Drosophila melanogaster: one gene and its partners. The protein of the gene in region 1 interacts with the protein of each later gene in a pairwise test. Each region holds a gene or a part of one and is shown on either strand. Other genes may lie near its edges.

The links.
Region 2: the proteins of Tsp (region 1) and PhKgamma interact in a two-hybrid assay, tested with the Drosophila melanogaster proteins (one large-scale study listed by BioGRID).
Region 3: the proteins of Tsp (region 1) and CG15022 interact in a two-hybrid assay, tested with the Drosophila melanogaster proteins (one large-scale study listed by BioGRID).

Annotation. Positions count from the first base shown.
Region 1 is NT_033779.5:6,705,839-6,711,168, reverse strand, and holds the start of Tsp (thrombospondin), read left to right. Parts: upstream 1-2,082; 5' UTR 2,083-2,882; intron 2,883-5,330.
Region 2 is NC_004354.4:11,693,363-11,698,463, forward strand, and holds the start of PhKgamma (phosphorylase kinase gamma), read left to right. Parts: upstream 1-1,774; 5' UTR 1,775-1,917; exon of another isoform or gene 1,918-2,022; intron 2,023-2,461; 5' UTR 2,462-2,949; intron 2,950-3,040; 5' UTR 3,041-3,086; coding exon 3,087-3,178; intron 3,179-3,703; coding exon 3,704-3,882; intron 3,883-3,948; coding exon 3,949-4,233; intron 4,234-4,298; coding exon 4,299-4,389; intron 4,390-4,936; coding exon 4,937-5,073; intron 5,074-5,101.
Region 3 is NT_037436.4:4,458,366-4,462,106, forward strand, and holds CG15022 (uncharacterized protein), read right to left. Parts: upstream 1,953-3,741; 5' UTR 1,883-1,952; coding exon 1,880-1,882; intron 1,818-1,879; coding exon 933-1,817; 3' UTR 828-932; downstream 1-827. Other genes in the region: CG15023 (uncharacterized protein), read right to left, coding at 2,381-2,887, 2,952-2,954.

The DNA.
Region 1 (5,330 bases):
CCGACGGGCCCTTAAATATTTATTCAATATTTTTGAATTGATATGCGAGCAAACCAGTTTTACTTCCCCGATAAGCTGGTGAATTGACCTTTAACTACTTTTAATTATATTGTATTGGCCCAAAAAAAAAGGGGCTGAGTTGGAAATTAAGTGATAAGCACTTGCTTTTAGTTTGTAGGGTGAATGGAGAGCTATGGTAACACCTTTAGGTAAATATTTGCACTTAGATATGCATATTTATCAACTGCCATTAAACACTCTCCTTTGAATCATTAAGCCGGAAGCTTGACCAACTTCACTCCAATCAAACCATGTCTTGCCAACTCCCACACTATTTCCAGGTGCAAGGCATCTGGCCTGGTCGGCATCAGTGGCCAAAGCCACGTAACCCAATTAACCGGCGAAGTCGTAAAATGACAATATTTCCTAGAGCAATTGAAGGCTGATGATAATCCCAAACCCCCCTAAGAGTGTTAGAAAGTAGCTCACTTTCGTTACACTGCACAACAAAGTCACGTTCGCTGAGGAAAAAAAAACACTCCAGAAAGCGCTGCACACGAAGAGCAGGAAGAATGCGTGTAATCGAATCTTGAAGACCGAAAAATAAACATGTTAATAATACAATTTTATGATTAATACGCACTGAACTGCAGTGCGAGGTGGTGGGGTAAAGGTGGGGCATTTCGGAGGAGATCAGACTTGATGTTGCTGTTGCGGCGTCGAAAAGTGCGTGGGACGTCTTAGCTCGTAACCACTGAAGATGCTGGGAACAACTCGAGGAGGATTCGGACGAGGAGTGTGTGGAATGGGGCGTGGGGCCAGCGAGGCTTATTTATAAATCACGCACATAATGAAATTTCAGCAAGTGGTCGCCGCTGTCCGAAAAGCGGCAAAATATGCAGCGTTGATGTGGGATAGCATCTCGGGTGTGTCCGCAGCACCGCAACTCCGTGATAAATGCACATCTGCATAATGCCCTCCTCCAACTGTCCGCTGACATGCCGGCGACATAATGACGAACAGGTCGGGCCATTCATTCAACTTCCCTTTCCCTTGGATCCCGATGCTACTGTCGTGTTACGCATCAGTCCCGTGTCAACGGCAAATAGGAGTGGAGGGAGTTCCGAAATGGGGGACACTTGTACTGCATAAGTAGCCATTAATAGGTGCCATATGCATATCATTTTGGGCTCTGGTTTTAACGAGTAGTTCGTCTGTTTTGAATGCCTGCAGAGCGTGCCGTTTATTTACGATCTCCATTTCAAAAGAGCAAAAGTCTGGCCCCATCCACCGAGTTCCTTTGGATTTGGAGGTGGTGGTCGAAAACAAGGATGGACGCATTATCGGAAAAGGGTTCGCACGAATCCGATTTAATGGCCTTAAACGGGCCTACAATGTAAGCATGTTTCGGGATTGAGTTTCAGTTTAATGGCCCAAACGATCTACAATTGGGGCAGCCCAAGTGGGCGACTCCACCATAATAATTGGTGGATAAACTAATGAACTGAAGACAATAAGTAATTACCCATAAATATAATCACAGAGAGCGACTTTTAACCAAAATATTTATTCTTACAAATTACACAGCAGTTTTAAACAATATATTACATAATTGCAACTTAAAGCGCACAAACGAAAACTGCGCTGATCGTTACAGAATATTTAAAATAACATTTTCTATATAGAAAATAAATTTTAAATTTCCTATATTTTAAAGAAGATTACCCATTATAAAATTTTATTTTTTACTAAGGAAGCGGAAGATATGAGATCTGAAAGTTGACTACCACTTTTTCCACTCACTTCCTCAATTATTCAGCAGCGATCTGGCCACACTGTCGATGTTTACGCAAATTTTGCACGTGGGCGTCGCGGCTTACTCACGCGTCAAATCAAAAGAAACACAAACGAAGACAAAATGCCGCGTTTCTCCCAAGAGCAACAACAACAGCTGAGAACAAAACAGAAACGCAGAAAGGCAACAACAAGTTGTCGCTGCTCCAAGTTGCTCCAGCCAACAGCGCTGCCGCTGCCTCAGTCGACGCTGCGCGTCGATCATTCCCTTTGCATTTTCAAATTTTCAGTTTCAGTTCGCGTTGGAACGTTGAACAAGACGGTGCGTGTCCTAGGTGCTTCGATAAGTGATCAGTGATTAGTTTTGGCGATAAATCAGTAGCATCAATCGATCGAACTATCGCGAGAATGTTTCAGTTTTCAAACGCTTCCTAAGTGTGCTTTTGAAATCAGCCCGCGCTGTACAAAGTTTTTTGCCCATATTTTTAAATCCGATCGATCCTCAAGCAGCATCCTCTGCATCCAAGGTGTCCAAGATCGCGTCGCGTTCGCCTTAATAGCATAAAAGTGTTTTAATTTTTATTGGCACGAACGGGCGAGTCAGTTGCGGAGCAGTTGTCGTTGCTGGAGGATTGTAGGCATTGGCGTCGCGTGTTCTCCACCGCGATTCCATAAAATCGACTCCACGAAATCTTCGCGTGTGTCCCCATTCCAAAATCCAGCTTTTCTACCTGGCGCGTATTTCGAAAAGGGTTTAAATGGTCTAATGCATCCGTTTCGTTATCGATTCTTTTAGTGTGAAGATACCCTTGCGACGTGTTTGATCTTTCGCTCTGCAAAAGTACAACATAATAAAAGTGTCTGTGCGGGCGTCCAGGAAAAAGCGGCGGAAAAGTGTGGCAATACTCGTAAAAATAACTCAGGTCGTTTCCATTCTAAATTGCGCGTTGACAGCCGCAAGTGGCGCAAACGAGCCGCACAAACAACAAGGAGCTGTCAGTTCCGTCCCGCCAAGTGGATCACTTGGATCACATCCACATCCGCAGTGGGGGCACCTCTAGAGCAAGAGCAGCGTCCTTGACCACGAGGTGAGTGTGAAGGTGGGCCAGACCTCCGGGCTTCTACATATGCTGCTTATTCGTGTGGCCAAAATCTGGGCTACACTCCGCTCACTCGGAAAATGAGTGCGCCAAGTGGCCAGGTGCGAAGTGCATTCCATATTCAAGTGCCTGGAAGGTACTAGAGCATATTAAGTTGTTCTTAAAGAAGTTGCGTTAATAATGATGCATCATCTCATTTTTAACATATTCTCAGGATCGTAAAGATAAACGAAAGATATACGGAAGTAATCACGACTTGGGTCTATGTTTATTAATATCATTCATTTAGAAAGTTATTAATAGCTAAATGCTAATTTCTTGTTTTCAATCTTAACAGACTGTAGACTAAAGAATCGCATCTTCTAGCTGCACACCCACAGCAGTTTAACTCCTTTTCATTCGACTTTATTGCATGATAATCACCAAGTTGTTGATAGGCCAATCTATGAATATTTTTTATGAGCGCCTCACAAGATTTCTATTCATTTCACCGCCATTTTATATCTGATGATAAATCAAGCTAATTGTTGTTGTAATTCAAATACTATCGATACATATTAATTAGCCACACCCAAGTCAACCGCAATCTGGCGGCAAAATCGGCCTGTGGCATCCTCACCATTCGAGCGACATTAATCTATGGGGGATCTGGGGAGATCTTATCTGCATTGGCGCCATAAATACCGCAGTCGAGTCATAATTTATTAATTACCGGACTTTCCACACGTATTTAAAGCAGATCAGATTGAGGTTTATGCCTTTGCGAGAACTATAATTATGTGGATCATATAAGGTCAGAGCACAGAATATTTTCCCCTCCAACAAATATGAATTGTGATTCGAAACGGCAGCCACAGATTGCTAATGATGTTGACCAAATGAAGCTGGTCACATTCCCCAACAACGGTTAAAATACTTAATTTTATTTGGCTCGATTTCCCAATCACTTTGCAGCTTCTACTGGGCTCTGCTACTCAATTCCAAGCGATTCAATTAAAAGACGCCCACTGCAAAGATCCCCATAACAATTTATAACTGCCTGTTCGAGAGACATTTCAGACTTGCGGTTATTTTATTATTTGAATATATTATTTAGCGGCAGTGGCGTTGTGACCCGAAGGGGTATTAATCTTGAAGATGTAGTAACCAATAGTTGGGAGATACTTTTAGCTAGGCCTATGACTTCGTTGTATCGATGTATCTATACAATAGATAGATACTTTCCCTTCAATAGAGCGGACAAATAAGATCGATCTGTTCAGTTTTGCAATGAGATGTGACAGAAATTCACTGAATAATTATTCAAATATGGAGCTTGGTGTTTTCTTATTCTCTGTCCAAACATTGACACCCCTTGGCGCTCCACACAGAGATGACTCTTCAGACATGGTAATATCTTGCTGGCCATATTTGGAGCTCGAGTTTGACATTATTAAAACATAAATAATATTGCCATTGTTAGTTATGGAATTTCCGCTTGGCAGCGAGTTATGAGTTCATAAACAAATGCAAATTAAGTGGAAAATTGTTGCACCAGCAAATTAGCGCATCGTCAGTGGAAAGTCATTTGGACACCAATATCCGAACCTTCTGCGGCAAATCAGGCTAACAAATTTTAATGCTTTGTATTGACTTCAGTCGGAATTTGCAATTCAAATGGAGCAAAGTCACAATAGCAGCTAAGGCTATTTGTGTTGGCCGTTTGGACTGCGGGCTTCAAAACCAATTCAAGTCGAATGGAGACGCGACTTTGCCTTAATGGTTCATCAACATAAGTTAATGGGTTTTCGGTTTTGGCCTAATGACAGATTAAACACATTCTCAAGCGATTTGACAAGATTGCCAACGAAAATTGCGCCGAAATGTATACTTTTATCCGGGCAAGAATAGTAGCATCTATCACGCATATTATTTTCCTTAGATATTTTGCGAAGATATGCAAATTATTTAAAGACGACCACTGATAGCAAGGTGCGGTCCAACAAACACCTGGTAAAAATAAACATTTAATTATATAGCCGCTGTATAAATTTAATTGATGGCAATATAATACGATTTGAGACAGTTTCTAGCTGCTGGCTATGCTTACATCAAAAAGTAGTCATCATGCATGTTTAGCTCAACGCAAGATTAAAGATTCAAGATTACAGAGATTATAATAATACCATTCTTACGGGTCTTTAAATTGTGATTTATGCGTTTTTACACCTACAATTTCAATCATTTTTATGTACTCTGCTGTTGCGATTGAGCAACTTGGCAGGTGGCAATTACCATACCAGAAATCTCAATCACCCGACTTATAATTGACAGACCTTTCAATATTTTGAAATAGGACTCCATATAACACCTGAAAAGCCACATTTTCAGCTGTCAACTACTGCATTTTTGTCGAATATAAATAGTCAAAAATTGAATGGGAAAACGACGACAAAA
Region 2 (5,101 bases), on another chromosome or scaffold:
ACACCGTCACCTCATCTCGATTATATATACATATAAATATATATATATATGTTCTGAAATATATATTTCCCAACTCGGAGCCACCTTATTTATCATTGTACTAACCCCAAATCCTTGGAAGGATTTAAACCCACTTGAAATAAAGATATACAGTCGATTAATCTCGTTCTACACATAATTGCAGGCTCCACGGCTCTGGGCTTCTACACGCCCATGAAGGGCACGGCGATGGACAACCTATTCCAGCTGGGTGTCACCCGATACGCCCTGCCCGAGAGCAGCAGCAGTGGGAGCAGCAATGGCAGCCACAGTCCAGGCAGCAACGGGAGCAGTCCAGCCGGAGCTGCGGGCAGCCGGTTGATGTTCAACGGGAATGGCAGCATTATGGGCATCGGCGAGGGACTGATCAAGGAGGGCGACTTGGCGGCAACGGAAGCAGGACCTGGAACTGCAGATGGAGCAGGTGCCTCCAAGAAGGGTTCAGCTGTGGACGAGGATGATTACCATCTGACGGCGACGCCGGGCGCCGAAGTTGTGTACAGCGAGGGTACACAGAAAACGGATTTGCTATATTAGGTCGTCCTGCCAGCCAAAAAACCGGAGCGTCTAGCTCTTTTTCTACCGGTTTCCACCAAACTCCAAACCTTCCGAGCATAACAACCTACCACATCCTGATCGTTCCCCTAATTGAAAAGCGTGCACTTAGGTGAAATATCAACTTCGGTTAGACGCGAAAACAGTAACGAAGGAAAGAAAAATAAAAACAACAAGGCAACGTAAACCAAGTATGGCAAGAAATCCATAAAGATACGTATATAAATAGATATTATTTGTAAGTTTGTAAGCCTAGAGATCCGATGTGTATGTGTACAACAGCAAGCGTGTGTGTCTGTCTTCTTTATAAATATATATATATGGTTTTTTTTTTTTGATAAATTAATAATTATATTATTGTAATGTATCTACATACGGCACTGAATGAACAACTTTGCTGCTGCAATTGTATTTGTATTTGTATTGTGTATTCCATTTACGGCATTTTGATAGTAAATATACAACAACAACAAATCAACGTATTTCCGACTGCATCCCGAAGGTTACTGAAACCTTAATCCACGAAGTACGCGACGAGCGGTTAGTCCCGCCCGAGTATTAACTTAATGGATTCTAACGATCCGATCTTGTGACCCATCATCATCCCTTTTCGCGACCCTTCCAAAACGAAAATGAAGAACATTCTAAGCTCCGCTTGCCCATTCAGCGGAAGAAAGCAAAGGAAAATGTAACATTTGCCTCATAATTATTATATACATTTAGCGCTTATTGAATATTTTTTACAATTGTATTCCGTAAATAAATATAAAATACATCAACATCTAGTCGCGTGTTTTAAGTTAAAGGAAGTTAAGGCCAAAGCAAAATGTTAGCAACAGTTTTTGTTAAAAGTTAACATATATAATAATGGTAATTTAAATATTCAAATCTATGAAGTGACTTATTTTATAAGTCCACTTATGTTTGTTATATTTAATTGGTATTTAGAAAAGGATTCATTTTAAATTAACACCGTTGAGGGTTCAATTTTGGTAGTGCGTCTTTGCTAACCATGCCGAGTGGGATCAAGTCCTTGCTAAGTTAGGATGTTGTCTTAGCTAACTGTGCCATCCCTGGTCGGGGTGTGTCTTAGCTAACAATTACGTGTCGATAGATATAATGCTATCGATATGACAGAGTGTCGGGAACAATCGATAGCATTACTTCGATATCGGTACTAGTGCCACCTCCAGTTTTGTGATTGTGTCAAAAATACAGGGTTTTATTGTTGCACTAGCAATTTAATCCGAGGAATATAAATTTTGTGTGGAGTTATGTTCGAGACGTCGTTGCCAGCGATTCAAGAGGCGAGCGGTCACACGTGTATGTGTTTCACTGGCGGTGCGGGCGCCAACTCCGCCAAAAAGCGTACTACTTTTAACCTTAGTTGACATTGAAATGTACCCGCTTAGTTGGATGTCCACGATGGTGCGTGTGTGTGCGTATATGTGTGCTATGCGGCGTCTGTGTGCGCGAGTGTGTGTGTGGGATTGCAAAGGAGGATGGGAGAAACGAGAGCAGAGCAAAAACAAAAACAAAAGGAACCTGCTGCACATAGTCGGTGCATGCGAGCGTGCTTATGTGTGTGTGCGTGCGTGCTAGCAAAACAACTGCAAGAAATCAGCAACAGTAGTAGAAGAAGAGAAGCTGTATCACTGATAAGGAGGCTAAACAACAACAAAAACAGCAACGATAATGTGCACCCTTTCGAAATGCAAACAAAACAAAGCGTTGTAGTTGTGTAATCATTCGTTGTGAACACACCACACACACACACACACACAACACTTGTTTAATAATACATTTTAATTCTATTATTTTTGATTTAATTTTTGCCTGTTATTCAAATCGATCTGTGTTTTTGCAGTTGGCATTCGTTATTAATTAAATCAGCCGCCAACAGCTGAGCGAGAGAGCAATCGAGAGCGACAGGAGAGGATCCACTTCCAATCGAATCGGGTGGAATCGAATAGCAGGGGCTTGGTAATTAAAAGGAAGACCGAACTGAACTGAACTAAACTGAAACGGAACGAAGCGAAGCGAAGCGCGGCGAGGCGGCAAGAAACGAAAAGAAAAGAACGAAAGTCGGCAGAGTCGGAAAGTCGGCAAGTCTGATTGTCGGCAAAGTCGCAAAGTCGGAGAGTCACAGTCTCAATCGCAGTCGGCGAGAGATTCCACTCGTGTCGCACGTCCGTTCGTTTCCACATTGTCGTTATAAAAATAGCAACGCCTTAAACGATCGCATCAACCTCATCAACAGAACACCACCAGAAATCACCGCCCCCTCCTACGCCTCAATCGCCATCGCCACCGCATCCCATCCCCATCATCTTCATTAGCAGGCAGCCTGACAGAGTAACTAACTGATCTTGATTGCGACCATAATCACCGTCATCATCATGTAATCCTTCACTAACCAATTGATTTCCGCTCGTCCACCAAATAGATTCCAAACTGCCGTTTCGGCAGCCGGCAAGATTTCACGAAATCTAATGGCCAAGGACGAGGAGGATGATCTGCTGCCCGACAAGGATGCGGCCAAGGGCTTCTATGCCAAATACGAGCCCAAGGAGATTCTGGGCAGGTAAGAATCGAACTACACTTGCCGTGATCTCAAACCTCTTATTAAATCCTTTTAAATTCAGTTGAAGTATTATTGATCCTGCACTTAACCATTCAAATACGTTTCTTTCTATTTACTTTGCGTAGTTAATTTTGCAAATTTAAGATCATAGAAACATTGATACTTGTATCCTCAGAAATCACTAGAACGTCCAAATATTGATTGTTTCTGCTTTCCCAACCTCTTACTGCCAAGTCTGCAGTAATGCAGTTTGGGCTAAATGGTGCCAAGTGAGTCAGCCTCATCAAGCTTCCATGGCATGGAGCAATGGCATGGGCTGCTTTTCAAGCGGCGCCTGTCTGCCGGCCTACTCACGCCACAACGAAGATCAGAATTTGCCAAGCAAATAGCAGAGACTAAGCGAAAACAAGGGCTAATTACATATTACAATTCTAGGGATTAGAGATTAGATAAATACCCGATCATGGCAATGTCAAGTGCAGCAGAAGCAGAGCTCTTTATCTACATGCAATGTTTGTCTTACAGGGGCATCAGTTCGACCGTGAGGCGATGTATCGAAAAGGAGACGGGCAAGGAGTTTGCCGCCAAGATCATCGACTTGGGCGCCACCACAGAGTCAGGCGAGACGAATCCATATCACATGCTGGAAGCAACCAGACAAGAAATCTCAATACTGCGCCAGGTCATGGGGCATCCCTACATAAGTTAGTCTCACATAGCACCCACATGTACTTAATTCCACCACTAACCATCTACATTATCGTGCACAGTTGATCTGCAGGATGTGTTCGAGTCAGATGCATTTGTTTTCCTCGTCTTCGAGCTGTGTCCCAAAGGTGAACTCTTCGACTATCTGACCTCTGTGGTGACGCTATCCGAGAAGAAGACGCGCACCATTATGCGACAAATCTTTGAGGGCGTCGAGTACATACACGCGAAGAGCATTGTCCATCGGGATCTTAAGCCCGAGAATATCTTGCTGGACGAGAACCACAACGTTAAGATCACGGATTTTGGCTTCGCCAAGCAGTTGCAAGAGGGCGAGAAACTTACAAGTAATTATAACACAGCATCCTTCTGTATTCGCTAAGCTAAACTATATGTACTTTCCCCCTATTAGATCTGTGCGGAACGCCGGGTTATTTGGCTCCCGAAACGCTCAAGTGCAACATGTTCGAGGGATCCCCCGGCTACTCGCAGGAAGTCGACATGTAAGAGCGAATAAACTAGCCACTTATTATTACACCTTTTTTTGGCTCACTTAAATTATAGAAGCAATTTAAGCACAAAAAGTATCACATTTATTGTAATACGAATTGTCTGCTCAAATTACTAAATTGCTTATGTTAACAGCTAATTTTATTATTAAAAATTTTTGCTTACATAAAAAAAGAAAGGTCTAAACTTTTGTATCGATATTAGACCCGTTTTCCTTTTTTTTTTGTTTTATAGACGCAAATTTTGCTGATACATTTCATTAACTAGTGTTCCTCGTGTCAGGCGATTTGTTTTGATCTTTAGGTGTGCATTTTAATGAATGAGTCAGAAGCAGAAAGGCATAATAATCTGAAATCTGAGTAGTTCCGATACCGACGTCTATATTTCTTCGGTTCAGCAAAACGTAGGGCTTTTTGTATTTTTGAGTTCTTTAACGTTTCCCACTGGTATCTACGTTACTTGGTTTCAGCAGAAATTTTTAATAGGAAAAATTGACACCTTTTACCCATTTCTTTTTCGATTTCTTTTTGTTGTTCGCAGATGGGCCTGTGGCGTGATTATGTTTACGCTGCTCGTCGGTTGTCCACCTTTCTGGCACCGCAAGCAGATGGTCATGCTGCGGAATATCATGGAGGGCAAGTACAGCTTCACCTCGCCGGAGTGGGCTGATATTTCAGGTTGGTCAAATTGATATGCACATGCCAA
Region 3 (3,741 bases), on another chromosome or scaffold:
TATTGGGAATTGGCATTCAATTTTTATTAAATCTCTTAATTCGAAGTCATCTCGTTGCGTTGGCTTTTGTTTTTTTTTGGCCCGACCAGGGAGCTCTTTATGGCTGGGAGCCATAAACGTGTTGGGTTTTACGATCACCGCTGCGTTTGCCAAGTACTTAAAATAGTTTTTGGTTAGGCAATTATTGGGATAAATAGTTTATCGTACTTTTGGAGTTGTTAGACTATTTATTTCGTATGCATTAGTCATCATGTACCTAAGAAATGTATAACATTATTGATACATCACTATCAGGTTTTAATTAAAATGCTTAAAGACAAAATGAAAGACAAATCAAGTGTGCTATTAAAGTAACCTAATGTTTAAACATTTAAACTTTAACCCTTTTCAAAAGAGCATACTCAATTCGTTAGGGGCTTAATTATTTATTTCTGTCTAATCTTTTCATGGCACCTTTAAAAGACTTGCCCCATCTCTGGGCAACATTGAAAGAGGTCAACTGTCGTCCCATTGCCGATGGCTGCAATTGGCGATTAGCGATTTTGGTTCGGTTTGAACCTTTCTGTAACCGACACCGATCAATCCCTATAAATATATTCAAACCAAAACTCACATCATTTTTCATCCAAAAAGACAGTAATTATCGACACTGCAGGTGATGATCGAGCTGAACTAAAGCTAAAACCGAAGCCGTTTGGCTATTTCGGTTGATTGGCCGCAATTAGATTTGGAGGTCAGATTGAAATCCACATGGATCCCTTGGGGGCTGGGTGACAGCAATTTGGGTTTGATATCTTTGACCTTGAGGATGGGGAAAGAGTGCGAGTGGTGTAATACTCCATTTTATTTTTTGTTAAAAATGCTTTTAATGTGTACAGCTTAAAACTAGATGCAGTGCTTGTGGTTTGGTTTTTTTTCGGTGGTTGATTATCCTAATGCCTGAAACGGCGAAGTGGAGGCTTGTAGTGGTAACCAGGCTCGGCGTCGTGGATTGGACTTGGTGCAGGGCCCAAGGGCAGTGCATAGGATGGAATCGGTATGTGGAAATCTACCTCAGGCTGGGGTGGCAGATATTTTTGTTCGGGCTTAGGAGGCAGATACTTCTCGACGGGCTCGGAAGGTGGCAGGTACTTAGTCTCCGGCTCGGCAGGAGGAAGATACAGCTTCTTGGGAGCCACTGGTGGGGGTGGAGGTGGTGGTGGCAGACTGGGTGCAACCTTGGGTGGCAGATACCTTGCCACTGGAGCAGGTGGCAGATACTTCACCTCGGGCGTCGGAGGAGGAAGGTACTTGGACTCTGGCGGACTGGGAGGCAGATATGTGGGCTTGGGCGCCACAACTGGAGGTGGTGGTGGAGGAGGCAGGCTGGGAGCGACCTTGGGTGGCAGATACTTGGCCACCGGTTCGGGGGGCAGGTACTTCACTTCAGGCTTTGAGGGAGGCAGATAAGTTGCCTTGGGCGGTGGAGGTGGTGGCGGTGGCAGGGAAACCTTGGGCGGCAGGTACTTCTGGCGAGGTTTCTCTGGAGGTCCATAGCTATATCCGCTAGGGATATCGAACTTGGCCTCTTGATGATGATGATGGTGGTGATCCGGCTGATAGTGCAGATCAATGTGCAGATCATGATGATCGTGTGACGAGGGAGAATGGTGGTGGGAATGGACATCATAGTGGTGGTGATCATGATCGTGATCGTGATCATGGTGGTGATGGTGATCATGGCCGTGATCGTGGTAACCTCCTCCGTACAGGTGGGACACGTCTGCCCGAATACAGATGGCAAAGCCTGCCAGAGCCAAAAGGATCAGCATGGGTTTCTGTAAAATAACCAACCTCCTGTTAGGTCATCTTTATTAGAGAATATGCCGCTACTGTTTACCATTTCCTTTAAGAGATAATCCACCGATCGAGATGATGTTGCTGCCGTTTGATGACAGCAGGTAGTAATGTCAATAACGTCGATGGTCACCGCTTTTATACAAAGATCGCGCCTTCCTCGACCGGCTGGCTATTTGGTTTTCTTCACACTTTTCTTGGTTTTCATGAACTTGAGGTCGGCCAATTATCGGCGTGTGTTATCTCCCTCTACCCCAAAACAATTAATGCGATTTCGACCAAATTAGCTCTGCACAACAAAGCAGCTCATGAATATGCAGCGGATGCGACGAAATCCCAGACAATTGACGGTGATTGACTCGGCCATCTGTACCACTTTTGTCCCATCCCAATAAATATTTGGGAGATACCGATGCTAATGGGGTTAACAAAACAGCGTTTATTGAGATGGCTTTAACCTTATATAAACCTAAGCCTAGTGGAACGATTTAAAACAAAACTAATCCGGGGAAATCTTCCATGTTCAGTTCGATCGCGATTTTGCTCAGAAGGTGAACTCTTGGGCGGGCACATCGTAGTGGTAACCCGGTTCCGGTTGTGGTGGTGGGGGTGGAAGGTACGTGGGCACTGGCGTGGGTGCAGGTGTCGTTGTGGTTGTAGTGGTGGTGGTGGTAGTGGTACGCGGTGGTGGAGGTGGGGGAGGAAGGTAAGTGGGAGCAGGAGTGGGAGCGGGAGTGGTTGTCGTGGTAGTGGTAGTAGGTGGAGGGGGAGGAAGGTAGGTAGGAGCGGGAGTAGGAGCCGGAGTGGTTGTGGTGGTAGTTGTGGTTGTGGGCGGAGGAGGAGGTAGGTAAGTGGGTACTGGTTTGGGTGGCAGATAAGTCGGTGGTGGCGGTGGTGGCTCCGTCGTCGAGGTAATCACAAATGGTATCTCCGGCTTGGGGTAGTCATAGCCATAGCCATGCTCATGATGCTCCTCCAGGAGTTCCAGCGGCAAATGCGAAACATCACCGGCTGCAAAAGCCAGCAGACAGGTAGCCAAAATGAATAGCTTCTGAAATAGGAAAGAAATCGTGAAGTTCAGATTGCTTCTCATATCTACAACTGACCACACTCACCATCTCCTTTATGATATGTCTAACACCTTGAGCTCTTAAACCACAAATGATTGAGCGTTTGCATCCACGTCGGTTTATTTATAGTCAAAATTCTAAAACAGATCGATACTGTCCATGGCGCTCTAGAGGCCAATTATTATCATTTAAATCGATATAACACCGCTAGCCCCACGGCATTCTTTGTATCGGTAAATGTATCTGTATCTGTAGCGCTCTCCGCAGCCATGTTTATATGAATGATTAGCGCCACAATAGTGCGCCGAAGTTGACAGAGGAGCAGCGTCAACATCGCCAACTTTGTTTCGGAACTATTATGCCTATATGGGGCCCTACTGAGCCGTTTTTCATCAACGTCGTCACTTGGGTTTTCATTGTTACGGTGTTAAAGGTATGACCAAACTTCCGACGGAACCTGGGGCACAAAAGCTTAGCACACAGAAAAACAGTCATAAATTCATAAAAATTCTGAGCAGATTTTGAATCAATTTGAAATAAGTAATCAGCGAGTACTTGCATTCTGATATGGGTTGCTACATATTTTAAATGTTAATTAATGAAATTCATTCATACATGAAAGGTACATGCACTTAATGTTATTTATTTTAAGCTAGTCAAGCTAAATTTTCTCTCAGTGCATCTGAAGAGGTAGTTCCGTCGCTGGAAGCGTTGTAAGCGTGCTCTGCTGGCTGTCATAAATCATTTAGACTTCATTTATAATAATTATGGCTCGCGCTGCCTTTTGCAACTCAAGAAGTTTGAGTGGTCAGAGTTTCATGGACAGATGGACAAT